Linked DNA regions of Struthio camelus. The protein of the gene in region 1 interacts with the protein of each later gene in a biochemical or structural test. Links are inferred from orthologs where the notes say so. Each region holds a gene or a part of one and is shown in the gene's direction. Other genes may lie near its edges. The genes, in order: MAPT, TUBB3, CDK1 and ABL1.

Region 1 (7,324 bases):
TAAGCTTCAAGTTCATGGCTTCAGTTCACAGGATAAATTCATGCACGTAACAAGTCAATGCTTTCGGTAACTCCTTAACCAGTTACCAGACAACTCAGCCCATTACGGGTACACAAGCTTTACATGATCTGGAATGTCCCTTGTAGCAGAAAGTTTCAAAATGAAAAGGGGTTAACTTACCAAAAAAAAAAAACTTAGGGGTATTGGGTCTTGTCTTCTGTTGGTAGGTGTTGGGCTCTGCATGCCTTCCACATTAGTCAGCTGAGAAGAAAAAGGTATAATCTTTTTTCAGCTGGGGTGCAGGGAAACACAGAGGTGAGTGTAAGGGTATTACCTGGTCTCTGGTCCCCAAGAGGTTAACCTCAATTTGTCAAGTCTCTCCACTTGCAAAAGTGATCGGAAGGAAAGTGATAAATTTGCTTTCCTGGTGCTCAGTGCTGTTCCTAGAGGAGAGGACCTTGCCGGCTGGCTCTTTCTGCTGAGTCACGGCCTGCTTGCTGCCTGCACCATTGCAATGCCGCGGGTGTTTCTCTGATTTCTGTCTTTGCAGCCCCACTGGCCTCAGCGGGGTTTACAGAGGGGTATCGTGCTCCATTTTGCCTGTCTGTGAAAATGAAATGTAAGCTGATTTTGCTTGGAGAGAACTGCAAAATATGTATGTAGCAAATATGTGTGGGGAACGGAGCCAGCTGTGCTCTAATCCCCCCTCGTGCCTGGAGCTGCTGGGAAAGGTTTGCAGAAGGCGACAGCTTTGTTTGGCTCTGCTCAGAGCCGGCCTGGGTAATGCCCGCTTTCCTGCAGTTGCTAACAGCATACAGGCACGGCTGGGAAAGCTGCTTGTGTAATGCCCAGTTCCCTGCTGAGATCTCCATGGTGAGGCTTCAAAGCCCAGCGAGCCCTCCTGAAACCTTGCTGGCCCCCTGGTCTGGTGCCATGTGCGCGTTAGTGGCTGTGTCCTGGGAAGCAAGTCTGGGGCCTGTGTCTGCCTGGGGCTTCCTTGTTTAGGAAGGGATCATCTTGTGGTTTATGAGCAGGCGATAGCATCTGGAATTGTTTCAGAAACATCAATCCTGTCTCCTTGCTACAAACCATTTGGAAAGCGATTAACCCATTTTCTTTGCTTAGGTGAACTTTAATGGCCAAGTTGCAAAAGGCGTGGGTATTGTAATGGAGTTAAGCTAGTGCAGAATTTGAGTATTTATTTCAGCTAGGCTCATTATGGTTTTGCAAAGGCCACCCTTAATCTGAATTAAGTGACTGAAATGAAGCAGTTTGAAGACAAACAAGGCCTTGGGGATGTTAGTCTTAAAACCCTTATAACCCAGCAATTGTCACACAGCTGCAGTTCTGCAGGTCAATTCCCACTCCAGGCAAGGCCTGAGAAATCATGTCTTGGCTTTCGTAGCACCTGTCATAGGAAACCTTGAGGCAGTTCTGAAACAAGTTGCAAAACTCACCTGCAAGGAAGATGAGCCCTGTTTTGTGGATGAAGAAACAGCTATGGAAGCTACAAGTCTAATGCAAAGTTGCTAAGCATCACATTTTAAAGGAAAACATAGTAGCTTGTTTCCAGCTAGCAGTAGTCCAAGCCTAAAGGGAAGAAAGAAGGAGCCTGGAGCAAGTTTAAAGTTGCAGGAGAAACTTCTCTTTCCTTGCAAAAATACCCTATAAACAAGAAGTAGCCAGAACAGCTCCATGCAGTAATTAATGTCTACTTTAGCTGTCAGCCTGCTGTGCGTACAGGTAAGAAATGGCTACAGTGTTTCTCTGCAGTTCCTGTTGGCTGGGTGAGAAGCCCTGGCAATTACTGTGAGCTCATTCCACTTGGGGCTCAGAGCGCTGAGCAGCGCTTCAGGACTCGCGCTGCTCCAGCAGTTCCCGTAACATCTCAGTATTGCTGCAGCAGCAACCTGCGCCCATGCCATGCAGAACGGGGTGCGCCTCTGTGGTGCAAGGAGTGGAGATGGAGGTTTGCTGGGCACCGACCTGAGACGTAGTACAAAATGCAGACCTTGCTGCGCGGTGGGGTTTCACATCAAAGAGGTGGATTTGCAGCGAGCTAGCATGTGTGATGTGGGGAGTCAGGACACCCGAACAAGGGATTCTTCTCCCAATTGCTACCTCTTTGTGACATGGACATTCAGCCAACGCTGAGGCCCTGCAGGGTGTTAGTAAGGAGGAAAATATGGGTGTAGATTTGATTATTTCTTTGCAGTAATCTTGTTTACCAAGAATATCCATGGGGTCCTGCTTCTCTGAACACAGTGTTAAACAGCAAGTCTGTGCTCATGGTGCCCTTCTGTAGCCAGTCCTGCTTATGGTGCTCTTAGCATCTTTTTATTTCCAAGTGCTGTACCACTAGGCTTAAGGGCAGGAAGGTGCTTGGCTGTACAACAGCAGTCCTGGAGGACTGAACTATGGGGGAGTCGTTGCTGTTGTGTTCCTCCAGGCTGGCAGTACTGTAAGCCACCAGCTGATGCATCTTACTCTTGGCTAGCCTTTGCTGGCAGATCTTCTACATGGCCATAATGTGGTGAGAGTGATGTGCCTGTACATTGGTTGGGACTGGCTAATGATACTTGCCAGTCTGTGACTTCTTGGATCCAAAAGGGACTCGGTGCTTGGTGACCCAAGCAAAGTCAGGCAGGCGAATGTGAGCTTTGATTGAGAGGGCTTCAAGAAGTCCAGATTTGATTATCCAGAATAACTTGTGTTGGGACGTTAAGGCAGGGAGTGTCTTCTGGTTTTTGCCCTCCTCAAAAGAAGAAATGGTCATATTAGAGGAGGAGCAGCTGAGCAGCTGATTGCCAGTGCAGTCAGTCTTGTGTTCCTGGTACATCTGTACCGCCTGTAGGAAGAGCTGCTGTTCCACAATTGGACTCTAGCTGCTTGCACTGTAAGTTCAAATTCAGCTTGTTTTATGTTGTCTCACAAGGATGGATCCCCTCATAGCTTACTTCATTTTACAGTTCCCAAAGCGGTGATATTTCTCACAGAACATGTATTTACCTTGGGGAAATTCTCCAACCAATTTACAGCATAATGTCAATTCATGGCATTCTTAAGCCAGTTAAAAATGGACAGGGGAAAAAAAGGTTTTTATGTCTCGCCCCTTTCTACTGACCTGATAAAACCACCTCATGGCCGCATGTTCAGAAATCCAGATCTCCACCTCGCTCACTGTTCATCATTTGACAGTACTCGTGCAGGTATTAACGCTGCTGTAACACATAAGGGCTCTGGCTCTCCATAGGGCTATGAGACACCTTGAGACCTTTGTTCCAAAACGAGATGGACCATTCCCAACCAGTAGTTGTCTAGTATGCTTTAAACCTCTGGTGCTGCAGGCTCCACATCTGTTTCTCTTTCTCTCTCTTGTGCTGCTTTTCCCTTCCTGACCTGTGTCAGAAGCCTGTCCTTAGATCAGACGCTTGCCCTTGATTTGCACCTGAATGATGCCCGGGGGAAAAAACGAAACCTTGAGCCTGTCTGACAAGGGATCCCTCCTGCAGTTTCTCCACTAAATCCAATTACCAAGCATAGTAACCGTGTAACGCAAGGCAGGAAGGCCATGGTGGGATCTCTGCTGTGTCCATAAGCCTCTGGAGCGCCTGGCTGCCCTCGCAGGTGGAGGGGGATCTTCTGGGAGCAGCGGGGAGCATGAGTTGCCCCTTCAGGTGGGGCTGCATTGGATGGTGGGGCAGCCCCGAAGCTCCTTGCATCACCTGGGGGCAGGAGGTGGGGTAACGTGTCACCTGTCGGCCCCTTCCCACAGGTGTGGGTCCCCCCCGCCCTGCCCCGAGGTGGTGTCCGGGGGAGGCGGCAGCGCGGGAAGGGGCTGAGGCGGCCACCGGCGTAAAATGGCGGTTGGGGGGGGGGAGGAGAGCGCGCGGGCGCCCCCTGTGGGCGGGGCGAGGCGCGCCCCCGCTTCCCGCAGACAAAAGACGGCGCTGGCCCCTCCCTCCCCCTTCCAACCTCTCACCGCGCATGCGCCGGCCTGAGCGCTGGCGGAGGGGCTCTCTGTGTGTGTGTGTGGGGGGGGGTGAGCGCCACTCGGCGCATGCGCCCTGCCTCCCTCTCCACCCCCCACCACCCCCCCCCCCGGCTCGGCGAAGGTTCCGGAGCTCGCGCGCGCCCCCCGCCCCGCCCCCGGCTCGCGCCGCCCCGCCCCGCCCGCGCCGCCGCTGTCACTCGCCGCGCGGCTCCGGTGCGGACTCTCCTGCAGCGGCAGGTAGGCGGCACCGGGCCCCCGACCGGCGGAGGGAGCCTTCGGGGCCGGGGAGGGTATATTTGGGGGGAGGAAAGGTGCTGCGCGGCTGGCCGCCGCTCTCCGCTCGGGCAGCCGCGCGTTTCGCTGTCCCCGTGCTAAAACGCAGAAAACGGGCGGGGGTGGGGAACCCGTTTGAGGGCCCCCCCAAAAAAAAAATTAAAAAATCGCGGAGGGGCGTGTCCCCTCTCCCTCCCGTTACCGGGCCCGGTTATCCGAGGGGGCCGCCCCCTTGCAGCCTGCCCGCTGCAGCAGTGCGAGGGGCGGCCCCTGCGGCAGCGCTGCCGCCCGGCTGCAGGTGCGCGGCGGCGTGGGGGGCGGCCGGGGGAGGGGGGGGGCTTTTTTTGAATTATGATTTCCCCCTTTCCCTCCTTTTTGGCGTTTTTTGCCCCCCGTTCCCTGCGGCAGGTGGGGCTGGGGGGCTGTGCCGGCGGGGCTGCGGCAGGAGGGGTGGGCTGCGCGGTGCCATCTTCTGTAGCCGCCCTCCTGGGAGGCAGGGACCAGCTGTAATTAAAATAATAGTAATTAAAAAAAAAAAACCAAAACCGTGAGGAGAAGGTGTGTCAGAAATCAGAGCTGCCCCTGTTTAGCCTAAAAATTGGGGGTGCCACGCGCTATTGAGGTCACGGTGCCCCGGAGTTGCCTTGCTTTGTTGCATCGCCCCAGATGCAGAGGGGAAAACGTTAACGATACGCTCGCCTAAGGTGGGTTTTAACGCTACTCAAAGGTGGGCTTTTTTTTCAGCCGGGCTGGGGATGCTGGTGCCCACCCCGGCGGGTTTGGGGCAGGAGCGCTCCCCCCTGCTGCGCGTGCCCTCCGTGCCCAAAACCGCTCCGGCCGGGGCGCGAGGCTGGCCCCCTTCCCGGGGTTTGCCTTGTGAGAGGGGTATTTTTTTCCCCTTTAACTGCTGGGCATCTCTTTGTTTTAAGTCTTAACTTCACAGGGGGGAAAGGGAAGTTTTCTCGGCAGGTATTTCCAGGCGCGATGCGTGGCACACCTGCCCTCCTGGCTTTGAGCAATTAAGCCCGTTAAGAGCGATAAGGGCTTACTTCAGGTGAGGGATGGAGATCTCTGCCTGCGTTTTGTCTGCTGTGCTAGTGTAAGGGAGGATTCAGCTGGGAAGATGGTTATTAACACCTCGAAAAGCAGTCCTGCTGGTGGTTGGGAGAGGGCAGCTGCCATCGCTCTAGAGGGAGTTTCTCCTTCCATTTGCTTGCAGTAGCACCACGCGAGGTGCAGCTCCATTTGCAGCGCGAGGCTGGTCTTGCTTGGAAACTGGCTCGCTGGAAGGAGCAGCTGAGATGAGCTAAGCTGTCACTTCAGCAATTTGCATGCAACGTATTTCTTAGTTGCCCTGCATTTATCTGTGTGGATCTAGGCAGATGTCTAAAGCGTGTCTGAATGAATGGGACAAAATTCACTACTGAGAAACACTGATTTGTTCTGCCAAGCAATGGCTGCCCTCTGTGAAGGTTTTCTACCTTTGTTGCCAGTGTCTCAGATTTGGGATGTTTAATCTAGTGGTTTACCGTATGCAGCTCATTTTGTGTGTGTGTTTTTTCTCAAGGTGGACAATGAAAACAGGCTTGTCAATTCTCAGTTGGATATTTACAGGCTGCTCTTGAGAGAGGGAATGTTAAAGTGCCATTTCTTCTAAGAATGGGAAATAATCTAACCCAGTTATGCTTTGTTCCATTGTGATGTGTGAAATGCTTTTTTTTTTTTTTTCCTTCCTCCTGACTGCACATGTAAGGAGAAAAGTAAGGTTGAGGCTTTTCAGTATTTTGTATCAGGTGTGAATTATTCCCCTGGATTTCCTCCTCCTTGGTCTTGATAGAGTAATGATATTTGGAAGGAGGTATGGCTTTGGCATGCTTCCCTGTGCAGTCCCCAGTTGTTAACAGAAGTACCTCATGCTGCTGAACGTCCTTGGAAATTAAGGCTTTAAGCCTTTGGAATTAAGATGCAGGTGGGATGTAGTTTAGTTTTTTTTTTATTTTGTGTGTTTGTGTTTTTTTTTTTTTGTTTGAGACCCAGCTCTTGTGCTCAAGGACAACATGACTTCTCTTTCAGAGGTACCATGGCCTTGGTCGTTTGAGACTCCATCTTCTTCCATAAGGCTTTTTTGCAATATAACAGGATTGTAGAACGGTTAAGTCCTGAACAGGCAGAGCTTAAAATGAAATATCAATGAGCTCAGTTTATTGCAAGATCTAATGGCGAGAAGCTGAACCCTGAGAAACTTGGACTAAAACAGGTATATCTGATTTAATGACAAAGTGTGAAGTGTGCTTGTCATTGTTTGAAGCCTTTAATGAAGACTCTGTGCCCCTCTCTGGGCTGTTTGTTCAGCCCGGCTCTGGAACAGCTTGTTGGTGGTCTGCAGGCTTTCAGGTGAACTTGTTGCAAAGGTCCCAGCTGACATGCTCTCCAGGTGCATTGAGATGATATTTTGCTCTCCTGGGTGGAGAGCACTTTTAGCTATTCCAGAAGGAAACAGACCTGCAGTTCTCAGCAGATAAATCTCCACCTTGTGGGGCAGATGGCATCACAGATAAGGATGTTTCTACTTCATCAAGGCTAGATTAGCTGGGATGAGGCCAAAAGTGTCACAAAGAGGAGACAGGTACCAGTCCTGCAGGTGAAGATGCAGGTGATGAGTGCTGCTTGTTGGGGCTGTAGCCCAGGAATGCAGATCTGGCTCTGCACATATACACAGCAAAAACATGGGCTTTTTAAAAGCCTCATTTACTCTTTTTAAAATGCTGCTTTAAGTATTTTCAGATCATGCTTCTAATTTAATCTTCTGTGTCAGTTCCTCCTGTGGTCTCAGATAGCCTTGCTGCCCTCTGCTTCCAGCCTCTTCCTTTCCAAGGCCCTTTGCCTAAACAGTCCTCCTCCCTCTGTGCTTAATAAACTGCAATTTCAGCAGGACCCAGCTCATCCAAGCAAGCCTTACTTAAACTGTCCTGAAAAAGCAGTGCTGCAGCTCTTGCTCTCACTTCCCTCCTTGAAAGCCGTGGGGAGATAAATCTGTTTTCCCTTCTTCAGGGTAGA
Region 2 (7,720 bases), on another chromosome or scaffold:
CTGGGGCTGGTGGGGAAGGCTGCCCTGAGCCTCGCGGTCTGTGCTGGGGGCTCAGTCCTGCCTCCTGGCACGTCCCAGGCAGGAGAGCGAACGGGGCTCTGTCCCGTGGGGAGGAGCGCCCTTTCTGCTCCCTGGTCCTGTGCTGCTGCTCTTGGCTCAGTTCGTGCTCTCTGAAGTTGCAGACTGGGCATTTTATGGCTTTGCACTCAAAAGCTCTGTTGATAAAGCTGAAATTCATTGCACGAATCGGTGCACTGGTTAGCTGGGCAGCAGCCAAGAAGGGAAGACAGTGCCTGTTGGTCTGGCCTCCTCGTGTGCAGGTTTCCCTGCCAGCCTGGGCTGTTTGCTCCCTAAGGAGACCTACTGGTGGGAGGTGTTGGGGACACCATCTTCGCAGGGGGCTGGTGCTGAGCACAGCTGGACTCCCCTCAGCACCTGGGGCGCCTCGGAGAGCCGGGCTCAGCTGCCTGGGCTCATGCTTGCGGGCTTCCCTCTCCTCAGCATTGCCGTGGAGGGGGAGCAGGTCTCGGAGCTGGCCTTGCCCCTGCGGCCGCGGGTGCGAAGGTGGCTCTAGCCGGGCAGCGGCTGCCGCCTCCAGCAGCCCGGCGGCAGGGTGAGCGCGCACCGGCCCGGGCTCAACGGGCAGCTCTTGTCCCCAGAGCACTAGACACAATTCCTGATCCATCCCTGCCGCGCTGACTTAGGAGCCGCTCGGGGTGAGGACGGGCCCTTCCCCGTGCGGTCGCCCGGCCTGCACAGAGGTGCTTTCATCAGCGGCGGGGCCGCCCCGAGCAGGGGCCCTCGGCAGCCTGAGGGAAGCAGCCGGAAGCGGCCGGTGGGAATGGCAGCGGGACCGGCCTTCTCATGCTGATGTGACCGGCTCTTTGGCAGCTGCGCAGCTCTAGGCATCAACACGGAGCAGAAGGCACATGACGGTCAGATGGGCCCCGCGCCTCCCCAGCCCGCCGCGGCGCTGGCGGGGGGAGCCGAGGCCCCTGCGCGGCTCCGGGGCCGGCTGCTCCGAGCGGCGCCGGGCGGCTCTGCAGGCAGCGACCGGGGAGCCGGCCAGGGCCCGGGACTCTGTTTAGTCCGTTCACTGGCTGGGCTTGGCGTTTGCGAGGCACCGTGGTGCATCTCGTCCCCCTGCCCGGAGCAGCTTCTGGTGCCCCGTGTCGGCTGCGTGCGGAGCCGGGCCGGCCGTGGTGGGGATGCTCCAGCAGCACTGGGGTGGTGGGACCAGCAGCCGGTTTCTTCTCCCAGAGAAAATGGAGCCTTTGAAGATCCCTATTAGACCCTGTCACCTGCCCCGCGGCGCGCCACCCGCCTTCCCCGCGTGCTGCTGTGGCCACTGGTGCCCTTGCTGGAGCCCTGGGGCCTGCGAGCACCCCAGCAGGGCTGAGGCGGTGCTCCGCAGCCCCAGGGACGTCGTGGCGGTCTGCAGGGGCCAGACCGACCGCAGCTGGCTCTGCGGTGGGATGTGGCTCCGAGCAAACCCAGAGCCGTGGGCAAGCTCTGCCCTTTGCACCGGACTGGGAGGAGCCGCTCTGCTCCTGCAGCGGGAGGCCGCACGGCCCCCTGGGCTCCCCGGGGTGCACGGACTCCCCAGGGCACACCAGTCCCCCAGGGCACAGGGGTGCATGGGGACCCCAGGGTGCACGGGAGACCCCAGGGTGCATGGGATCTGCTCAAGGTGCATAGGAGACCCCAGGGTGCACGGGAGACTCCAGGGTGCACAGGAGACCCCAGGGTGCATAGGGGACCCTCAAGGTGCATAGGGGACCCCAGGGTGCACGGGAGACCTCAGGGTGCATGGGAGACCCCAGGGTGTACAGGCAACCTCAGGGTGCATAGGGGACCCCAGGGTGCACAGGAGACCCCAGGATGCATGGGGATCCCAGGATGCATGGGATCCCCTCAGGGTGCCTAGGGGACCCCAGGGTGCACAGGAAGCCCCCCGGCCCCCCAGGATCGCAGGGCGCACAGGACAGCACTGTGGGTCCGGCAGCCACAGGCTCCGCGCGGCTGCCCTCACTGCTGGGGTGCAGAGCTGTCATGTGCGTGCCCACCCTCCACGGAGGAGGGGCTGAGGGAGCCGGCTTTAAAATAGGGCAGAGAAAGGGTCCTTTCTTCCCCATAACTCCCGCTAATCCACCACTGTGGACCAGGGAGGAGCGTGGCTGCAAGGGGAGCCGGGGAAGCCTGGGGACGTGAGCGGCTGCAGAAACCAGGGGTGCGGAGCGGCCACCAGGCGAGCGGGCCACCTCTGGCACCGCGTGCCCATCGGGACCCCGGGGCGGCAGGAGGCGCGAGTGTCGCTTCCCTCTGCCCAAAGCCGTCGCAGGAGAGGCGCCCGCGGGGCCTGTGCCTCGCGCCGGGGTCGAGGGCGCGCGCGGGCCGGTGGCGGGCGCGATGTCGACGCTGGCCCCGCTGCGCCTGCTCCGCGAGCCCTGGAACGCCAGCGAGGGCAACCAGAGCAACGCCACGGCCGGGGCCGGCGGTGCCGGCTGCCAGGGGCTCGACATCCCCAATGAGCTCTTCCTCACGCTGGGCCTGGTGAGCCTGGTGGAGAACGTGCTGGTGGTCGCCGCCATCCTCAAGAACAGGAACCTGCACTCGCCCATGTACTACTTCATCTGCTGCCTGGCCGTCTCCGACATGCTGGTGAGCGTCAGCAACCTGGTGGAGACGCTCTTCATGCTGCTCATGGAGCACGGCGTGCTGGTGATCCGCGCCACCATCGTCCGCCACATGGACAATGTCATCGACATGCTCATCTGCAGCTCCGTCGTGTCCTCCCTCTCCTTCCTGGGGGTCATCGCTGTGGACCGCTACATCACCATCTTCTACGCCCTGCGCTACCACAGCATCATGACGCTGCAGCGGGCCGTGGTCACCATAGCCAGCGTCTGGCTGGCCAGCACTGTCTCCAGCACCATCTTCATCACCTACTACCGCAGCAACGCCATCCTCCTCTGCCTCATCGGCTTCTTCCTCTTCATGCTGGTGCTCATGCTGGTGCTCTACATCCACATGTTCACCCTGGCCCGCCACCACCTCCGCAGCATCTCCAGCCAGCAGAAGAAACCCACTGTCTACCGCACCAGCAGCCTCAAGGGTGCTGTGACCCTCACCATCCTGCTGGGTGTCTTCTTCATCTGCTGGGGGCCCTTCTTCTTCCACCTCATCCTCATCGTCACCTGCCCCACCAACCCCTTCTGCACGTGCTTCTTCAGCTACTTCAACCTCTTCCTCATCCTCATCATTTGCAACTCTGTGGTGGACCCCCTCATCTACGCCTTCCGGAGCCGGGAGCTCCGGCGGACGCTGCGGGAGGTGGTGCTGTGCTCCTGGTAGCGAGCGGGACGCGGGCTGCGCGCAGGTAACGGCACGGCCCGGCGGGGACGGGCTGCGGGGCCCGGCCCCCCCCGGCCCGGCCCAGGCTGCGCCCAGTGCCGCGGGGGCCCCGCGCCGCCCGGCCGCGCGGTACCACCCAGCTGAATAAAGGCTCTTTGCATTGATGCTGTGGCTGGCACCGCGCCGTGCGCAGCCCCGCTGCCGCCCCTCGCCCGGCCCTGCGGCCCCCCGGCTTTGTGGGGCGGGGAGGGGGGGGCAGCAGGTCCAGCACCTGCCTGCTCTGGGGACTGGGATGGACTGGGAGCCGCTGGGGGCAGGCGTGCGTGCCGACGGCGGAGCCGGCGTCTCCCCAGCCCCGATGACGGATCCGTGGGGCGGCCGCCGCGTGTCGCTGCTCGGCTGCCGCATCCCCGTGCGCCCGGGCACCGGCAGCAGCCGTGGGGCTGCTCTGCATGGGGCAGCGGGGTGAGGCCACGGCGCTCAGCACCCCCCCCCGCAGCGGGCGCTGGGGGGCTGCAGCCCCCCGGGCTCCTCGCCGGGCCCAGGCGTCCTCGGCCGCCGCCGCACAAAGGGAGGCCCCTCGCCGCCGCCAGCCTTTGTTGCGGCACCGCCGCCGTGGCTCCCCGCGTCCCCCCGCTGCCCCGGCTGGGGGGTCCTGCAGGGCTGCGGCTGTGTTGGGAGCCCTGGGTGTCCGGGGGGGGGATGCCCCCCATCTCCCCCCGTGGTGTGGGGCGGGATCCCCCCCCGTGGGGTCCCGGCCCCTCCCCACGTCTGCAGGGGGGTCCCAGCCCCCCCCCAGTATGTGGGTGGTGTCTGGGTCTCCCTTTCTCTCCCCCCCCCTCCACGCCGGGATGTCCCCGCTCCCCCCACTCCGGGCGTGCAGGTGGGCTCTGTCCCTGCCGTGGGTGTCCCCCAGCCCCACGGGTGTCCGGGCCGGGGCCCCCTCCCCTCCCCCACACCGCAGGGAGCTGGGCTGGGGTCTGCCCCTCCCCCACAACGAGTGTCTGCGGGTGACACCCCCCCCGTGGGTGCGGGTGGGGGTGGGGGGTGTCCACGAGCGCCGGGTCCCCCCTGCCGCCGCCGGGCTGGGCCGGGCCGGGCCGGGACAATCCCAGCCGGGCCGGGCCGGGCCGATCCGTTCCCGGCCGTGCCGAGCCGATCCGTGCCGGGTCATCCGGGCCCATCCATTGCTGGCCGATCCGTGCCGGCCGGTCCGGACCGATTCGGTCCGGTTCGGTCCGGTCCTTGCCGTGTCGAGCCGTGCCGGTCCGGTTCGGTCCGGTCCGTGCCGTGTGCCGTGCCGGTCCGGTCCGTGTGCCGGTCCGGTCCGTGTGCCGGTCCGGTCCGGGGCGGGGCGGGGCGGGCGCGGTGCTGCAGGGATGCTGCAGCGCGCTGCGGCGGCGGCGGCCGCCGATTGGCTGCGGCGCGGGGGTGACGTCAGCGGCCGGCCCGGTGCGGCGCGCGGCGCCTATAAAGGCGGCGGCGGCGGCGGTGCCGCCCCCCGCGCTGCCGGTACCGCTCCGCGCCCGCCCGCCCGTCCCGGCCCGACCATGAGGGAGATCGTCCACATCCAGGCGGGCCAGTGCGGCAACCAGATCGGGGCCAAGGTAACGCCCGCCACCGGGCACCGCCACCGGGCACCGGCACCGGGCGCTGCGCCGGCCCCGCCCCGGCTCTGCGGAGGGCAGCGGCGGACAAAGGCTCCCCCCCTCCCCCCTCCCCGCCCCGCCGCACCGGGCAGAACAAAGGGCCCCGCCCCGCTCCTTTGTCCGCCGCGGCGCGGGGGAGGGGAGGGCGGGGGCCGCCGCCTGCCGCAGCCCCGCCGCCGCCACCGGGTACCGGGCACCGGGCGGCGCCCCCGGTCCCGGCCCGGCCGGCGAGCACGAAGGCGGCGGCGGCGGCGGTGTGGCCGGGGCGGTGCCGGTGCCGCCGGGGCCGCCGCGAGCGGCGCTTCAGCACCGCGGCCAGCGCCCACCCGCCCCGAGGCGGCGGGGAGGGGCCGGGGGCGCTGTCCCCGGTGCTCGGGGTGACACCGCCACCCCCCCCCCACCCAGCCCGGACCTCCCCGGTTCTCCCGGGGTGACCCCCCCCCGGGGGTGACACTGCCACCTCCCCCACCCCAGACCTCCCGGGGTGACCCCCCCCCGGGGGTGACACTGCCACCTCCCCCACCCCAGACCTCCCGGGGTGACCCCCCCCCGGGGGTGACACTGCCACCTCCCCCACCCCAGACCTCCCGGGGTGACCCCCCCCGGGGGTGCCACTGCCACCCCACCCCAGACCTCCCGGGGTGACCCCCCCCGGGGGTGCCACTGCCACCCCCACCCCGGACCTCCCCGGTTCTCCTGGGGTGACCCCCCCCCCGGGGGTACCACTGCCACCCCCCTCCACCCCGAACCTCCCCGGTTCTCCCGGGGTGACCCCCCCCCCGGGGGTACCACTGCCACCCCCCTCCACCCCAGACCTCCCGGGGTGACCCCTCCCGAGTGACACTGCCACCCCCCCCACCCCGGACCTCCCCGTTCTCCTGGGGTGACCCCCCCCCCCCCGGGTACCACTGCCACCCCCCTCCACCCCAGACCTCCCGGGGTGACCCCCCCCCGGGGGTGACACCACCAACCCCCCCCACCCTGGACCTCCCTGTTCCCCCCCCTGGGGTGACACTGCCACCCCCCTGGATCTCCCTGTTCTCCTGGCATGACCCCCCCCATCCCCCTGGTCCCCTGGGGGTGACACTGCCACCCCCCCTGGACCTCCTGATTTTCCTGGTGTGATCCCCCACCTCCCCCAGTCCCCCGAGGTAACACTGCTAGCCCCCCCCGGACCTCCCTGTTCTCCTGGTGTGGCCCCCCCCCCGGGGTGACACTGCCACCCCTGCCAGACCTCCTGGTTTTCCCGTCGTGACTCCCCCCCCACACACCCCTCTCAGTCCTCAGGGTGACACCATCACCCCCCCAGGCCTCCCTGTTCTCCTGATGTGACCCCCCCGGTGCTCAGGGTGACACTGCCACCCCCCCGGACCTCCTGGTTCTCCTGATGTGACCCCCCCCCACCTCCCCTGGTCCCCTGGGGTGTGGCACTCCCAGTACTGGGTCTCCCCCCCACCACGATGCAGAGCCTGCCCCCCCCCGTGCCAGGCCCCCAGGGTGCTCTCCTGCCTCTGTGGCACCCTTGGGTCCTGTCCTGCCCCCCCCCATGGTGCAGAGGCCCCCTCCCCCCCCCGCAAAGGGTAGGATCACCCCTGGGTCCTGTCCTGTCCCCCCCCCCCCAACGGTGCAGAGACCCCCTGCCATGCTGGCACCAGGCACCCCGAGCTGGGGCTGTGCCCCATTGCTGGGGGACACTGCCCCCGAGCGCTGCCCCCTCTGACCCCCCCCCCGTGCCCCCCCAGTTCTGGGAGGTGATCAGCGATGAGCACGGCATAGACCCCAGCGGCAACTACGTGGGCGACTCGGACCTGCAGCTGGAGCGCATCAGCGTCTACTACAATGAGGCCTCCTGTAAGCCCCCGGCGGCGGCGGGCTGGGCAGGGAGGGCGGCGGGGGGTCCCCGGGTGGGGGTCCCCACGGTGCGGTGGGCTCGGGGGCGCAGGGAGGGGGCGGCGGGTCACTCGGCGTCTCTCCGCAGCTCACAAGTATGTGCCTCGCGCCATCCTGGTGGACCTGGAGCCGGGGACGATGGACAGCGTGCGCTCGGGCGCCTTCGGACACCTCTTCCGACCCGACAACTTCATTTTCGGTACGTCCCCCGCGCTAGCACCGGCCGGACCCCAGATGGCTCCCACACCCCATCCTGTGGCGACGCTGGGGTGCCCGGAGCCGTCTCTGGCTGCGTCTCCCCCGCGGCCCCGGCATGCCGGCAGCTCCCTGCCAAGCCTTTGCGGCTTCTACTTCCCACCCCACCCCACCCCTCCGCGCCCAGCTCCAGGCGCCTCTCACCAGCCTCAGATCTCCCTGTCGGATCCCCGGTTGGGTTGGGGCTGCATGCAACCTGCCGTGGGCGCCCACGCGGCCCCGGGCGCTCCGCAGAGACGGGGGGGCTGGAGCGCAGCCAGCACGGCTCGTCTTCTCCCGCAGGCCAGAGCGGGGCCGGGAACAACTGGGCGAAGGGGCACTACACAGAGGGGGCCGAGCTGGTGGACTCCGTCCTGGACGTGGTGCGGAAGGAGTGCGAGAACTGCGACTGCCTGCAGGGCTTCCAGCTGACCCACTCGCTGGGTGGTGGCACCGGCTCGGGCATGGGCACCCTGCTCATCAGCAAGGTGCGCGAGGAGTACCCTGACCGCATCATGAACACTTTCAGCGTGGTACCCTCGCCCAAGGTCTCGGACACGGTGGTGGAGCCCTACAACGCCACGCTCTCCATC
Region 3 (7,937 bases), on another chromosome or scaffold:
ACAACTTCAGAAGACTTCCATAACTTTCAAATTCAGAAGGAAAACAGCGAAAGCTGCCGAAAGAGTTTCCTAAGGCTACATAATTTCTCACTGACTGCATAATCGGTGAACTTTACTAAAGCAAGAGGCAGAAATTCTGACCCCGCAAAGAAAAGTAGAACAACTTCTGTTGATTGTTAGGCCAGGATTTTACTCAAATCATTTATAACCTTTCCAGATTTCTACTTTTTCATACTTCTAGTGCTCATTGTCATGGAAGTCAGAGAAACCATATTCCTTTAAAACAAGGAAAAAACCTTAATATAGTAATAGCATCATGCAGGGATCATAAAACTAACCTGCATAAAACAGGTTTAAGTCCCTCTGAAAATGACCTTTACTAGGACTGCTTTAAAAAATACCATCTAAAATAGATGTTTTATCACAGAGGCTTTAAAACCTAAAATTAAGTCTCTGAAAAGTCTCAGTAAGAATCAAGCTCTTATAAGACAGACGCATGTGATCAACTACTCTGTCGTTGAAGGATATTACTTTAGTGATTCCTACAGAAAGAAGCTGTCAGCACAACCTGTTTAAAATAACATGCAGAAGATCAGTGCAAAAGCTTAGCCAGTTTTTGCTGTAGCACTGACACAATAAGGCAGACAGGAAAGTTCCAGCTAATGAACCCTCCGGACTACAGCTACACAGAAGTTCTTTCTTTAGCCTATAACATTTTTAAGTTACAACCAGATAGAATCAGTATCACATACTGATAAAATCATGAGGCAAGTATCAGACAGTACATGGAAACTTTGAGTAATATCTCCTTTTCAGAGCACCACCCTAAGTATGTCCCTAGAGAATAGCTTCCTGAATTTGTTAGGAACTACTTCATTATAAAGAGAGACTAAAGAAAAGATGGTACCTTTTTCTCTGCCACAGATCAGCAGGAACTGAAGTTGTAAGTGGATTAAATAAAACAAATTACAATGTTACTAATTAGCTAATGCTAAATTCATTTTTGTAGGGCGCCACCTTCCCCGAAAGGAAACTGGATGGATTTGTTCAAGATGCTAATAAGACTTGGCAAGATTTTAACAGTATGCAATAACTATGTGAAAAACAAGGTGGCAAAGACTGACATAAACAGTGAAAGCCTCTTAAGAACTTCACCACAATAGTTATTAATGTTTTAATAAAGCAGTTTTCTTTGTTGCCCCCATCTTCTTTACCCACTTTTCTCCTCACATATAATACTTCTTTACATACAGTCATACTTCCTTCCAATGATAACAAAAACATACAGTGCAAGCAACTATCATTTTCCATGTACTTTATGTGGATGTTTATGTAATTTAACTGTTCAGAGTAAAAGCTATTAGCACCAACACCAGGGAGTACATACAAGTTATCAAAGGACTAGTGAAGTTCAAGCATTTCTGATCTCATTTCTCCACTGAAGAGGTGAGAAAAGGGTAAGGAGTCTTTTCTTCATTATTTCCCCACCCTCCAACACCACTGAAAATAGGAATTATCTGCCCAAGAAAGAGAGCAATGTGACTTTTGTTTCATTCCCTATATTTGCCTTCCATTCTTTCTTCCCTGAAAAATTAATCTAAACTAGTTTCATCACATTAAGGAAAAAAAGAGAAGGTTTAAAACTACCTTGAAATATTTATTTTGGAAAAGTCAAACCTCAACATTCTCATTTTTCTTCTCAGACATTTCAGCATCATATGTTACACATCTTAGAATTCAAGCATAAAACAGAAATATTTGCTACTACCCTCATGCCCAAGGTTCTAAGCCTTTTCCATAGGAGCAAAGAATTAGCTAAACGCCATGAGCTGTTTCAAAGTCTTCCTTGGGCCAAGTCCTTGTCAAGCTCCCTTAAAGAGATGAAGGAATTTTGCCCGATTAAAGATTGCAAAACCAAGCTTTTCTCAGAACTAAAGCAACATGCCAGCTCTCATTTTGTCATCCACAGATCCATGCCAAATAACTGTAAGTGCCATTGTCAACAGCTTAGCATGAGATCTAATGTACAGGAGCAATACTCACATTTTAGACAACACACTGGCAAAAACCACCTTTGATGAGTATTCAAACAATAGATTAAATTAACAGTTTTCACACTCTCTGAAGAGCCTGGCACACATGTATCTCAAAATTTATCCCGGAAACCAGAGAACGGTAGAAGAGAATCCCAAAAAACTTTCAGGTAGAAGGAAAAGCAGGATTAAACTGATAAAGACGTAGAAGAGAACCAGAAGGGACAACAGTGACAGAAAACTACCTATGCCAAGCATTTATCTGGAATTGAAACTCAGTCTGGCCTGCAGACTGCAAAGATTTCTTTTTAGCTGCAAAAAGAAAATTGCCCTCAAAGATTCCAATGATTAAACAAATTTAGGGTTTTTTTTCCCCACAGCAACAACATGGTTGTAACTGTGGTCGCACAGATTTGGAAGCTTTAAAATAATAAAATATTTCACTCTTAAGATTGAGAACTTATGTGAGAATTATTCAGCTTTCATATTTGAACAGAGCTGGGGTTTTTCCTGCCCTACACAAGAATAAGATAACCATCTCCTCTCTTTTCCAAAAAGGCATTGGTTTTAAAATTAAATTGCAAACAGTATTTTAAAAAAAACTTTAACTTGCAAAATTTAAGAGCTCCTCCAAGCTTTAGACAATCCACAAACTTACTCAGTACTGTAAACTCCCCAAATATAAACATTACAGGACAGAACAGCACTGTCAGTGACCTACAGGCATAATAAACTTCCTGTTAGATGTTGAATTTTAACAGTATTTGTAATGTTGACACTCAGAACTATAATAAAAGAATTAGAACTAAAAAAGTATATTCTACCCTTCCTGTTCCTTTTTAAAAAATATATACTTCTGAGTAAAATTTTAGAATATATTAAAGTGAAATAAGTAGCAGTCATCCTAATTATTAACAGCTAAGCAGTACAGTAATACAAGAATATTTTTAATTGCAAGCTATTTTCTTTCTCATGCTGTTACAGTATTTCTGACTCACTCTGTAGAGTTTAGAGGTTATCTTGGAGCAAAACTGGAAATAGAGTTTGGAAAAAAGAAAAATACTTATCTACAAGTAAACATGTATGTGAATTGTAAATTATAGCACTAAGATATAACTCACTACCTTAATAAAAGCATATAATTAGCAATAAATTAGGATTTAGAAAAGACAAGCAAGGTGATATTTTTTCCATTAAAAAAGGAAAAAAATTATCGGGCAAGTATCAATAGAACAACGGCATGCAACAGCACAGTATCATTCTGCAACAAAAATCAGGAGATGCACACTAGCAAGTTCTCGTGGAAGGTATTTAGGCAGAGTGAGATTTATGATAGCAGAGACTATTCTCCTAGCAACTCACTAAAAATACCAATGCTATTTCAAAACACATCCCCACTTCTAATGCTGCCCATTAAAAAATTCAAGATCTATACACCTTTAATACCCATTGCGGGGGGGGGGGGGGGGGGGGGGGAAGAGATTAACATTTAAGAACCTGACCTAAAATTATTTTCAATCCAGTGGAAAGTTCTGCTGGCCTTGACAGTGTGGAAGGATGTAAGGCTGCAGAACTAGACCCTGAGGGCAAAGCTGAGACTCCTGAACTGTTCTAAGACTACTCCAAGGCCAAGATGCAACATGTCCAGCTTAGAGACAGAGAACTATCATCTTCTTTAAAAACCTCACTGCTTCAATCCTTTAAATGTAGCCTAGATCATGAACCTTTCAGAATAATAAGTTTGGAAGTTGCCTACTTTGGAAAAATCTGACAAGTCTCATTTAACCTGTATATCCACAAGGCAGATAAAAGAAGTGAAGCAAAAATGTCTTGTGTACTGACAACACAGGAAGTTCTGTCTTCTCATTCTAGGAGCTCTCATTGATGAAGTACAGGGCTCAAAACACGGAAGTCACAAGCAAGGGGAGGAACAGCCTGCCAACCTGGAACTTAACCTTAGAGGACTTCAAGAGGAATGCTTTAGTCTAGCCCACTGCTCCTCTTAGGGCTGTTATTTTATGGTTAATTTTAAAGCATGAACTCCCAAAAGATTTAGAGGGAGAAACATGAAAGACTAACATTCTACAACAAGAGAGAGAACCTCACAGAGCAGATGGGATCCTAAGTGCAGCAAAAGTGCTGTTAAAACCAGGACGGTTTTATGGTTCCAAAAGATACTTTAATCAAAAAAATTAAAACACAGTTTAAAAAAAAAAAGTGGGTGGTGGGGAAGAAAACAGAGTAAGTTTTATGCACCCTTGATTGAACTATAGCTTAAATCTTACAGTTTTCAGTTTTGGTTTCAGAAGCTCTGGGCTTATAGCCTTAAGAAACAAAATTTGCATTTACCACACTTTTTCAATCATTTTAAAACCACATTTTAAAACTGGGAAAAAAGTTATTTAGCTGGTCAGACATTGTGTAACATGCAGAAATGTGTTCTTTCTACTCTAAGGACACTAGTATTTGCAGTTAAAACCAATTATGCCATTTGTGCCCAGCTGGAAGAATGTCAGACCAGCCCACTTCATTGCAATATAAGGCAGTGTTTTTGGGAGTGCAACACACAAAAATGATCACATTCACTACATAAGCTACATACAACCTTGTAGCACAGTGCTTTTATCAGACCCTAGGGCCTGGGTCTAATCACTGAAGAGGATGGATGGACTTGGGAGAAAGAGCCTTCCTGTAATTTCCCATGTAGTTATGGGTGTGTTGAAGCAGAGCCTCCCACAGCACTTCACCTTTCCAAGTGCCAGCTACCACCAGCAGCAACCACAGGAGCTGCCTGTATTTTAACCCTCTTGCTACTGGAGTCCTTTCATATGGTATGCATACCCTTATTCATATTATAGCATCACGATGGCATGGCATAAGCCAGCAGCAGCTTGCCTTGCACTGTCATTCATGAGACAGGTCCTGCTGCTGGCTCTGCAATCAGGCGCTGAGCAAGGAGGAAAACGTCCCAAGGGCAGCTGAGAACATTTCAGGTAAGGGCATCTCCATCCAACAGCCAGGCTACTGTTTTATGACTTACGTGTTGGAAAACCAACAAGAAAAGCAAACTGAATACACTCACTAACTACACACTAACTTGTTAACAGCTCACTGGAGCGCGTTACTCCTAAAAGCATAAATTAGCGTTGCTCTGTTGTTTTAAGCGATCCCAAGGAAAAAGCGAACGCTTAGCAACCTGTAACGCGACCCTGCGAGGCACGACCTGCGCCAGCCGCAGCCCGACGGGCGGCTTCGGCACGGCGCGGGCCGCTGCCAAGGGAGAGGGGGAAAAAAAGTGAGGAAAAGAAAGAAGAGCGGGAAGAGGCAAGGTCCAAGGAGGGGCGTCAGGTTTTACCGACACAGAGGCAGTCGCTCTCGCTCACACCCGGACGCTTAAGAGCGGAGGCAAAAGGCGTCTGCGCCCCGCCGACCCCCGCGGGAGGCGAGCGGCTCCTGTGAGGGACGTTTGAACGCCGCCGCTTCCCTCACACCTGAGCGGCGGCCGTTGGGGGGGGGGGAGGGGCTCCGCGCGCCGCCGCTGAGGGGGAGCCGCTCGCGCCGGCAGCGACCGTTAACGGCCGCAGCGGCGCGAGCCCGGGCGGCGCGCGCGGAGGCGGGAGCGGGCAGGAGAGAAGTGAGGTGAGGAGAGGCGCGGCGCGGCGCAGGAGGGGACCGCCCGCGCCCCCCGCCCGACGGGCCGGCCTGGGCCGCCGTGCTCCAGCGGGCGGGCGGGGGCAGCGAGGGCTGCGCGCTCACCTGGTCTCCGCCGCGCCGTCCCGCGGGGGAGGAGGAGGCGGCGGAGGCCATGTTGCGGCGCGTCCAGGCACTTCTCCCACCTCGCCGGGCCGGGCCGGGCTCGGCTCACCCCGCGGCGGGGCGGGCCTGCCCCTCGCCGCCCCCTCAGGTGGGGCCGGGCCCCGCTCCTCCCGCGGCAGGGGGTGGCCGCCGTCCCGTCCCTGTCCTGGGCCTCCTCACGCCTGGAGCCGGTGCTTTATTACGGAATCAAAACCCCGCCGTTTTCCGCCCAAAGACAAATAGGTGCTGGGGGCACCTGTGGCCGCGGCCCGGCCCCACCTGCGCTGCCGCCCCCTTTCCATCCACAGCTCACTGCTCCTCAGGATGCAGTTTTCGGGGACGGAACTCGAGTTTGCTAAACTTGAAAAATAAATAAATTAGTTAATTATTAATTAATTAAATGGCCTAGCTAGGTGCTAATATATTCCTTACCGCAGTTAAATGGTAGCAGCTGGTTTTCCCACGATGAATACTACAGTGCTGATACGTTAAACCATAATGCAAACTCAGAATGCCTGGGGCTGGGTTGGGTGTTGTGAATCAGTCCGGGTTGGTTTGGTGTTTCGTTTTTGTTTTCAATCAAGGCTGAAGACTATAAAGCCCAAAGCGCCCAAATGAGCTGTGTTGATTAAAATAGCCGTGTTTGTTGTTTGGTGGTGTTTGTGTTTTGTGAATGCCTAGTAAAATATTCTAGAATGGCCTTGCTGAAGTTTTATTGTATCACAGCTTTCAAAATTGCAAGAAGTATTATATAAGGTATTAAGGTTACTTTAGTTTGGAGTTAAATGCCTGTATCCTCTCTTCTGTACTTTTTTTCCCCCCCCTTTCAAAAGCCTCGTTCTGGTACACCAATCTGTTTTTCTCTTTGCGTTAGAACTCAATACCAGAATTAGGAGAGGTTAAAGACAATCCATTTTACCACGCCTTAACTTACCTGGAAACATTGTAGCTAATAGTTTAATTCACTGATTTTCTACTACTGCTGGCCTTGTGGGCACAATGTAGAAAGTGGATACCCAAATGTATAAGCTGACTATAGCTGTTCACGTGTCTTGAAGATAGTGCCTAACTAATTGCTTGTCACTCTCTCTGTAAAGTGCACGCATTGGTTCTTTGTGCATAGAGCCAAAATAAAAGCATTTACCTGGACTGATGATACAGCTATGTCTGATACGGATAAGTTAATTCTCAACTGCTGACTGGGATGGTTTCACTGGTATAGAGTGCAGCACATCCTTGCAAGCATGCTAGTACATCGGATTAAGTATACATCCCAGCCTGGGATAACTGTTGAGGTCTCAGGATTCTTCTTATTTAATTTCTGTCTGTCTCACAAAAAAAAAAACTGTCAGCAGTACTTCTCTTTCTTGAGAACAAGGATCAATTTTCCCTAGAATGTCTTTTTCCCTCTTATTTTGGATGTGACTCATTTCCTCAGCCCACTCAGGGAACTGTGAGGCAGGAGAGGAAATGGGAAGAAAGGATCACAATATCCACATTGGCTAAAAGAAAACATGAAGCAAGGCTGCTCACGTTTACTGATGAGAGAGGTACTATCATTGGCAGTGGCAATTTGCAGCTCTGAGGTGGGGCCACACACTTTTTTATAGTGCCTTGCATACCACTAGCCATCACTGTGTGCCACCTCCCATCACTCTCTGGAAATAAAATGGTGACGGTTAAAATGGAATTTTCAGATTGTAAAAGAAAATAGCACCTTAAGGAAAAGGTTATTTTTACTGTAAGGGAAACGCATATAATATTCCTACTTAAATAATTGATTAGGAGGAGGATTTCTGAACAAATTCAGGTGTGATGTGTACATCTAAATCTTCGGTGCGTTTCCACAGGGTTGCATACTTGGCTTGTCTCATCTGCATTCTCATCTGCAAGAGTACACCTTCATTCTTGGCAGCTGGAATGACACCCTGAGGGAAGAAAAAGAACTTCCTTTACTTCAGGAAAGGTTTCAAGTCAGACTTTGCTGAACGAGGTTTGGAATTTAAATGTGCTGTTGCAGGGCATTTGATCTGACGTAGCATAGTAGCAGGTGGTTGTTATAAGATGGAAAGGGATAAACGGGTAAGGAGTGCAGAGAAAAACTAAGTT
Region 4 (7,260 bases), on another chromosome or scaffold:
TTTTTTTTTTCTAGCCTGGAAATGCAGCTTCTGTGGTCACACAGTCTCTGATCTCTGTCTTCCCTAATAACTTCTGCACCCACTGGGTAACTTCAAGGTTGTAAACCAGTGAATAGAGATAATCCAGTTCACGAAAAAACTGGCAGCAGGATAGAGGACAGAAAATGTATGACCCTTCTGGAAGGAAGGAAGGCAGATATGCTGTGCTGTTGGGAGTGCCCAGCTGGCGGGCCCGTCTGCACATGTGTAGCCCCAGCTTAACTACACCACTGTTTTGGGAAACGGGAAATGCTTTGGGAGCAACTGCTGAGTGGAAAGAGGCTGGGGACTGCTGGCAAAGAACCTGCCCCACTTGGCTTCTTTCTGATTGCAGAGCATCAAAGGAATACCCGACTCCTCCAGCCTTTTTTTCCCTCTCTTGGTAGCAACAAAAAGGACCTCAAATACTGGCTAACAGCTTGAGTTAAAAGGGCTGGTCGTATAGAAGTGAGCTTTTAAGTGAGACAGTCTGAGATTGCTTGTAGTTGAACTTCTGGTTATGGGATTTGCAACTTTCAGATCTGTTGGATCTGTGGTGAGTTATAGCAGTAATAAATTCACCTGTTCTGGTAAATAAAAATAAGTATATTCATCTGTGTAGTATCTCGTGTGGGGCAGGGAGAAGTACATACAGTGTATATTGTCCGGAACAGAAAGCCTGCCTATTTTCAATTACCTTCGTGTATGCCAGTGAGCGTATTTTGGTCAAAGCCTTCTGAGTATCGTGGACCTCTGGTAGTCGTCAGGAGCTCACTCTGCTTCAGTCCTGCTAGCTGATATGAGAGATTATGGATGCTCCAGTAAGACCCAGAAGGGAATAACTTTTTCAGTAAAGGATGGTTTGTATTAACTAGTCTGTCAACTCAGGCTGAGCAATTTGAGAGAGATTTGTTACCAGTCAGTCTCATTTCCTGAGTTTCCTTCACCCAATGGGAACACCCGGAGTCTGTTTTGGAGTGGAAGTTAGATCATAGCAGTGAGGAGCTGCTCTCCATTACTGAGATAAACTGGAGAAATTCGGCTGAGTTTGAGTTTGAGACTCTGGGTTTGTCTCAGCGTAACGTACCAGAATTTCTCTCTTGCATGTTTGTAACGCAAACAGCCTCAGTTCCTGGAACCTGAGTTACTGATGGGAGAACGCAATATAAATGGTTTGGGATCAGTGTCCTGGCTAAGAATTAGTGACATAGGAGAAGAATGGTGCAGCAGAAGTGGAGGATCCCTTAGGCCTGAATGAAGTGCTACCTTTTAAGTGCTGTAATTGGAAGATGAACAATCCATGTCTGCTAGGGACCTCAAACATGCTATAGGAGAAATGGAACATGTTTGAATTTGTCATAAGGGAGGAGTCAGCATAAACAAGCCGGTGCTTTGTCCAGATGGTAACTCTGAGAAGGAAGTTACCGGAGAAACTGCTTTTGTGTGTTCTCCCACTGCCGGCTGGGAGCAAGCACAGACCTTTGACCAAAATACTCCAGCCTCATGCTGCTGCCTCAGCCCTTTTCCATTCCCATCGCAAACTGGATAGAGAAACAAAATACCTTCGGCTTCACGGTATGTACTCCTCAGAGAACGCGCATACTGCACATCTAAGGGCACCATGGTGCAGGCTGAAGAATTTTGAGGTTTAACTTCATCTTGGTATAGAACAGTGCACACATGTAGATAAATCCAATAACATACATTTTTTGGCACATTTCTTGGCCTCTAGGGCTGTTTTCAGTGTCAAGTTTTGCATGTGCTCTGACAGCATTAATAAAGAGATGAGGACCCTAGTGCCAGCAGGATGACTTATCCCTGGTTCTGGAAAAGCTAATATTACAGCTGCCCCTGTAAGGTTCTCTTCATCCCTGTCCCTCTCTGTAAGAAGTCTAGGGTCCAGAACAGGCCAGGGGACTTGAGAGCAATGCACTTGAAGGGGTCTTTGGGGCTTGAGAACCAACCAGCTCTCATTATCAGATCCAGGAGGAAACAACTCAGGTGGCCCTTGCAAAAGGAAAAGGAAGTTGATATGAGTTAAGGGAATACTCTTAACTTTATGCCTCAGTTTAAAGAGTTTGCTTGTGAAGTTAGATTAGCAGATGCCTACCTAGAGGGGAATTATGCATGGAGTGAATTAAGCCCACAAAGAGAAGCTCTCATGGTCTAAGGGTGTCTGTTGCCTTTTTCCTGGCGTAGCTAGGTGGCTTGTTGTTGTCGTTTTTTTTCTTGTGTTCTTGATATTATTGTATTATTGCCTTTGGATGGATTAAAAAAGGTGATTGTGACCGATGCAATTGATGCAGGGTTTTAGATCTCAGTCTGCAAGCTCTTTGTAATTCTGTATGTGAACGTTTTCCTGACAGCTCTTCAACAATGTTTTGTCTCTTAAAAAGAAGAAATCAGCCCATTCTCATACCTAAGGCAGCAGAAAAAGTCCAAGTATGTGTGTATGGCCCTGCGCCTAAAAACAGATGGAAAGCACATATCCTTGCAAAGTTTCCTAGAAGCTGGGTGAGGCAAAGAGCAGGCTAATTCACGTCCCCTCTGGACCTCGCAGTACAGCGCTAATGAGCCAGTGCACAACTGTGTTTAGTGCAGCACGTTATTTGGGGACTGGGTCCCAGAGGCACCGAGCAAACGTGCTGCAGTGCCGCGTGCAGGCCCTGCTGCCTGGCCACCTCCGCTCCTCACCTCCCCCTACCTCTGCCTCGTCCCAGCTCTCGTCTGTCTCCTCCATCCTGACCTTCCTTGTGGTCGCTCCAGCTCACCATCGCTACCGTGATACCCCCCATTCCCAAGTCATCTTCCCCCCGTTTCTCAACACCCTTCATTGCTCTCACCCCTGCAATCCTTTTCTGTCACTCCCATTGCTCTCCTGTCACTGCTGCTCCTACTGCTCCTGCCTCTCCTCCATCTCCCCCCTCACTAAGGATCTCCCTCATGGTTCCTCCTCCCCCCCCCCATTTCCCTCATCCTTCCCCACATTGTCCCCATTTCCGTCATCCTCTGCTTCAAAGAGCCTTTCATGGCTCCTGCCCAGCACTTCCCTCCCCTCTCTTCTCACCAGCCCTGAGCCCGCTTCGTGCCTGCCCCTTGTCTCCCTCATCGCCCCACCCGGGTCCCATGTGGGTGCCCCCGTTTCCCTCCTCCTTCACCTCCCAGCCCCTCCCTCCCCTTCACCCTCATCCTCCCCTCGGGGCTGCCCTCCCTCCCAGTTTCCCCTATCCTCCCCTCCGTTTCTCTCACGGCTCCCCCCGTTCCCCTCAGCTCCCCCTGCCCAGACCCCACCTGGGTCCCCCATTTCCTTCATGGCGCTGCCCCCGAGACACCTCCATGTCCCCGCTTCCCTCACGGCTTCCCGCCTCGGGGCTCCCCCCCTCCCCTGGACCCCCCCACTTCCCTCGGGGCTCCCCCCACACACCCCCCATTTCCCTCGGAGCTTCCCCCCCCTCCCCCGGACCCCCATTTCCCTCGGGGCTCCCCCCCCACACCCCCCATTTCCCTCGGAGCTTCCCCCCCCCTCCCCCGGATCCCCATTTCCCTCGGGACTCCCCCCCTCCCCCGGACCCCCCACTTCCCTCAGGGCTCCCCCCACGGACCCCCCATTTCCCTCGGAGCTTCCCCCCACCCCCTCCCCCGGACCCCCATTTCCCTCGGGGCTCCCCCCCTCCCCCGGACCCCCCATTTCCCTCGGGGCTCCCCCCCGGACCCCTATTTCACCCCCCCCCCCCGCCGGGGCTCGGCAGGTTGCCATCACGGCGGCGGCGGCGGCGGGCGCGGTGCCCTGACGGGGCCGAGGCCGGGACCGGGCAGCGGCCGCGCCGGGCCGGGCGGGAGGCGGAGGCGGAGGAGGAGGAGGGGCCGGAAGGGGATGTGACCGCCCGCCCGCCCGCCGGCCGGGGACGGGGCCGCGGCGCGCCGGGGGTTCCGGGATCTCCCTCGCCGCCTGCGGCCGCCTCTGCCCGCCCGCGTCGCTCGGTGCCCCCGGCGGCAGCCTCCTTCGCTGGGGCCCCCCCACCTGGCCGCAGCCCTTTGTCCCCCGTCCTGTCAACGCCCGGCCCGGCCCCCCCGAGGCGGGTCGGGGTCGGGCGGCGGCGGCGGCCCGACCCGCTGCTCCCGGCCGGCCCCTCCTGCGCGTCCAGCCGCGGCGGGGCCGGGCTCGGCCCGCTGGCGCTCGCCGCCGCGGCCTTCCCCGCCGCCGGCCTCCCCCGCTGGGATGAAGCCAGCGCAGTCACCCCCGCTTGACCTCTGCTGGCTGCTGTGCAGAAACCTTCCTCCCGGAGAGCATCCCTGGGCTCATGCCTCTTCCCGGCCACCGGCACCCGGCTCCCGCTGAGCCCTGAGGGCCGAGGCCGCCGCACCGGGGCGGCCTTGCCCGCCCCCCGCCCCGCTTGGGCCTTGGCGCGCTCGAGGCGTCGCTTCGGAGTCCGCCATGGCGCCGCGGTGCCCGCTCGGCCGCTCGACGCCCGCCGGCGCGCGGGAGAGGTAGCGGCGGGAAGAGCGGGCGACGGCGGAGGGCGAAAGCTCCGCGGGGCCCGTGCGGAGAGAGCGCGCGCGCGGATCCCTGAGGACTGAGCCGGCCTGCGCTTTTGTGTCGAAGCCTGACATGATTTGGATGTCCTGGAGCCTGCTGGACTTCAACGGTACTTGAAGCCAGAGACGTGGCTTTTGGGGGCCTTTGCTCGCTCAATGCTATGCAAAAGAAAAGGAGGAAAAAAAAAAAGAAACCTTGACCCTGGTTGCAGTGGGAATGACCGTTTCCTGCCCTGGGTGAGCCTAGATGCGATTTCTTGTTTGTAAGATGAACTAATTCTCCTTTGCCCGGCGGAAGACGCATTGCATATGGTAACGTAAGACTTTGACGCTTGTTGTAGTTACTAAGCAATTGGAACTTTTAACTTGTTGTTTTGCATAAAGCCACCTAAAGAGCCTTGTTGCTGCCTCCAGACGCGTTGCAAGAGTCCGCGAGCTTGTCTTAATTCTTCGCCTCAAGTGACTTTATTACACGGTGAGCGCAACCAGCATACCCACCTAAAATACGTTTCCCTTCCGAGCTCCGTCCCAACCTGGAAGATCAGGGATCACAGACTTCTTCAAAAACTTCTCGTCCTGGGGAAGGCTGCCCATAGTTGCTTTATGGGGCAGCAGCCTGGAAAAGTCCTTGGGGACCAAAGGAGGCCAAGTCTGCCTGCCCTGCACTTCATCAAAGGAGCAGGGAAGAAGGAATCATCTAGGCATGGGGGCCCGCACTGTAACGTCTTTGTGGAACACGGTAAGGAGTTTCTCTTGGCTTATGTCTGGCCTGCCCAGTTAGATGCAATATTGTTTATTAAATTGCTTCCTACAGATATAAAGAGGCTGTACCGTATGGAAGTCTTCTGTTTTCTTTCTTGCTTCTTGATGCAAATCCTGCCTAATCGTGTAGTAAGAAAATGCTTAACTTGTGTCAGATTGCTTGAAACTTAAGGAGAGGTTGTTATACAGCTGAGTAGTAAATACAAGGAAATAACTTGTTTTTAACATCATACAGGTTTCTCATTTCTGCCTTAGATATGTTCTTATTTAAAATCTGGGAAAGTGGGGTTTTTTTTTGTTTTGTTTTGTTTTGTTTTTTGTACAGACCAACCACAGGTGCTGGTGATGCTGTTGCCATTGACAGGTTTTCTAATTGTCTTTAAAGGGTCTCAGCTACCTGAAAATAAAATACCTTCCTTTGGAGAGTTTGTGGAAGTTGCAATTGTGACACCTGATGGGAATCAAACAGTTTCTTGTTAATTTGCTTAGTGCATTTACAGCGTTTTTGGTTAGTGGTTTCTCCTCAAGCCAGCTAGGCCTTGATCTTGTGCTGTGATGAGATTAAGTGCAAGAGTGAATATGTTAGGGGTTTAGCAACCTCTTCGCTTGCTGGTCTTCCACAAAGTAAAAGGGGACTGAGAAAGTCAGGAAAGAAACTAAATGAAAAACTCAGTAGGACTCAGAGGTGGGTTTAGCATCTATTTCAGATTATTTTTTTCCTTCTTTCTTTTTTTTTTTTTTTTTAAAATAAATGACTGAGTAGTTTTCAAGCTTATGGTAGCCGTTTTCAAAGGTCAGACACAGTAAAGTGTTGTTTTGCTGAAACTTCTGGAGTAATCCTTGTTTTTGCATAATGCGTTTTCAGTTCTGATGTTCTTGGAGCAGACATGCCGCTGGCCGCTATCTTAGGCGAGCGAATATGATTTTGACAAAGCTTGTTCAACAGTTCTCTCCTCCTAAGAAAGTTTGAGCACAAAACCAAGCTGCATCTATAATCTTTATCCAATTAAAAATTGAAAAATTTGCAGCGTCTGAGGACACAATCTAACTGCTAAGTGGAAAAATATTTATTTAGTTTTATTTTAGATAGGCTTTGTTTTGAAACTTTCTCATCCTGAGTTTCTGAGTCACCAAGAAATTCTGTGCAATAGTTAGCAAAGATACAGACAGAGATGCTGTGTACGTACTGCTGAGTTTCAAGTTACATATTGTTTCAAGTTACATTAATGTTATTTCTTCTCATTTCCTGTGCAGTGTTTGTGCACTGAGGTTATTTGGAAATTGGAGGTAATTAATGGAAAGATGGAGAATATAAGGGCTAACTTGGCACTCTGATAAAAATCCTGCTGCAGAAATTTTCCAGGGCATGCTTTCAGTACTGAAATATACCCACTCCTCCACCCCCAGTTTGGTTGCTGCTTTACTACTTAGGACAGAGTTTCAAGGTCAGATGAGACGCAGTGCACTTAACTGCAAGCAACACAATATTCTAACTACCTTCAGTGTTTTGATGTGGCAGCAGAGCCAGAAATGGTCCTTTTTGATCATCTAGCAGGAATAGGCAGATGGTAACTTCTTGCCAGTATGACCTGAGGTCAGAACATCCTAGCACATTTGCAAAGAAAAATAGCATCTGTAATGTCCATATACCATATGTCCACAAGAGACCTCAGTGTCTTGATTTTGAAAAGAATAAACTTGAAAGGGGACATCAAGGCTGATACATCTGTTAAGAGAACTGCAAAAGATCAGCCTCGCTTATCCACATGAGGAAAACTTATTCCGTTGACTATACGAAATGGTTCTTCGTATAGTACAGGCAGTAGAAGGCTGTACCACCGTTTTTGTTGTTCAGCTCTATTTTGAGTTTTGGCCCCCAACTTGCCTGGAAAATGTTACCTTGTTATTGAAATATAGGCGCTTAAAAATATCTAGAACAATACA

The links.
Region 2: the proteins of MAPT (region 1) and TUBB3 form a complex in vitro, tested with the Homo sapiens proteins (3 studies listed by BioGRID, with this or other methods). The link is inferred for Struthio camelus from reciprocal best matches to the Homo sapiens genes MAPT and TUBB3.
Region 3: of the proteins of MAPT (region 1) and CDK1, one has a biochemical effect on the other in vitro, tested with the Homo sapiens proteins (2 studies listed by BioGRID). The link is inferred for Struthio camelus from reciprocal best matches to the Homo sapiens genes MAPT and CDK1.
Region 4: of the proteins of MAPT (region 1) and ABL1, one has a biochemical effect on the other in vitro, tested with the Homo sapiens proteins (2 studies listed by BioGRID). The link is inferred for Struthio camelus from reciprocal best matches to the Homo sapiens genes MAPT and ABL1.

The regions. Positions count from the first base shown.
Region 1 is NC_090966.1:4,566,585-4,573,908, reverse strand, and holds the start of MAPT (microtubule-associated protein tau), read left to right. Parts: upstream 1-4,149; 5' UTR 4,150-4,231; intron 4,232-7,324. UniProt on the Homo sapiens protein: Promotes microtubule assembly and stability, and might be involved in the establishment and maintenance of neuronal polarity.
Region 2 is NC_090951.1:1,775,421-1,783,140, reverse strand, and holds the start of TUBB3 (tubulin beta-3 chain), read left to right. Parts: upstream 1-4,706; 5' UTR 4,707-4,733; coding exon 4,734-4,961; intron 4,962-6,745; coding exon 6,746-6,854; intron 6,855-6,981; coding exon 6,982-7,092; intron 7,093-7,430; coding exon 7,431-7,720. Other genes in the region: MC1R (melanocyte-stimulating hormone receptor), read left to right, coding at 2,410-3,354. UniProt on the Homo sapiens protein: Tubulin is the major constituent of microtubules, protein filaments consisting of alpha- and beta-tubulin heterodimers. Microtubules grow by the addition of GTP-tubulin dimers to the microtubule end, where a stabilizing cap forms.
Region 3 is NC_090948.1:36,163,749-36,171,685, forward strand, and holds the start of CDK1 (cyclin-dependent kinase 1), read left to right. Parts: upstream 1-4,733; 5' UTR 4,734-5,026; intron 5,027-5,564; exon of another isoform or gene 5,565-5,672; intron 5,673-5,789; coding exon of another isoform or gene 5,790-5,840; exon of another isoform or gene 5,841-5,919; intron 5,920-7,678; 5' UTR 7,679-7,821; intron 7,822-7,937. UniProt on the Homo sapiens protein: Plays a key role in the control of the eukaryotic cell cycle by modulating the centrosome cycle as well as mitotic onset; promotes G2-M transition via association with multiple interphase cyclins.
Region 4 is NC_090961.1:6,300,292-6,307,551, reverse strand, and holds the start of ABL1 (tyrosine-protein kinase ABL1), read left to right. Parts: upstream 1-4,155; 5' UTR 4,156-5,157; coding exon 5,158-5,293; intron 5,294-7,260. UniProt on the Homo sapiens protein: Non-receptor tyrosine-protein kinase that plays a role in many key processes linked to cell growth and survival such as cytoskeleton remodeling in response to extracellular stimuli, cell motility and adhesion, receptor endocytosis, autophagy, DNA damage response and apoptosis.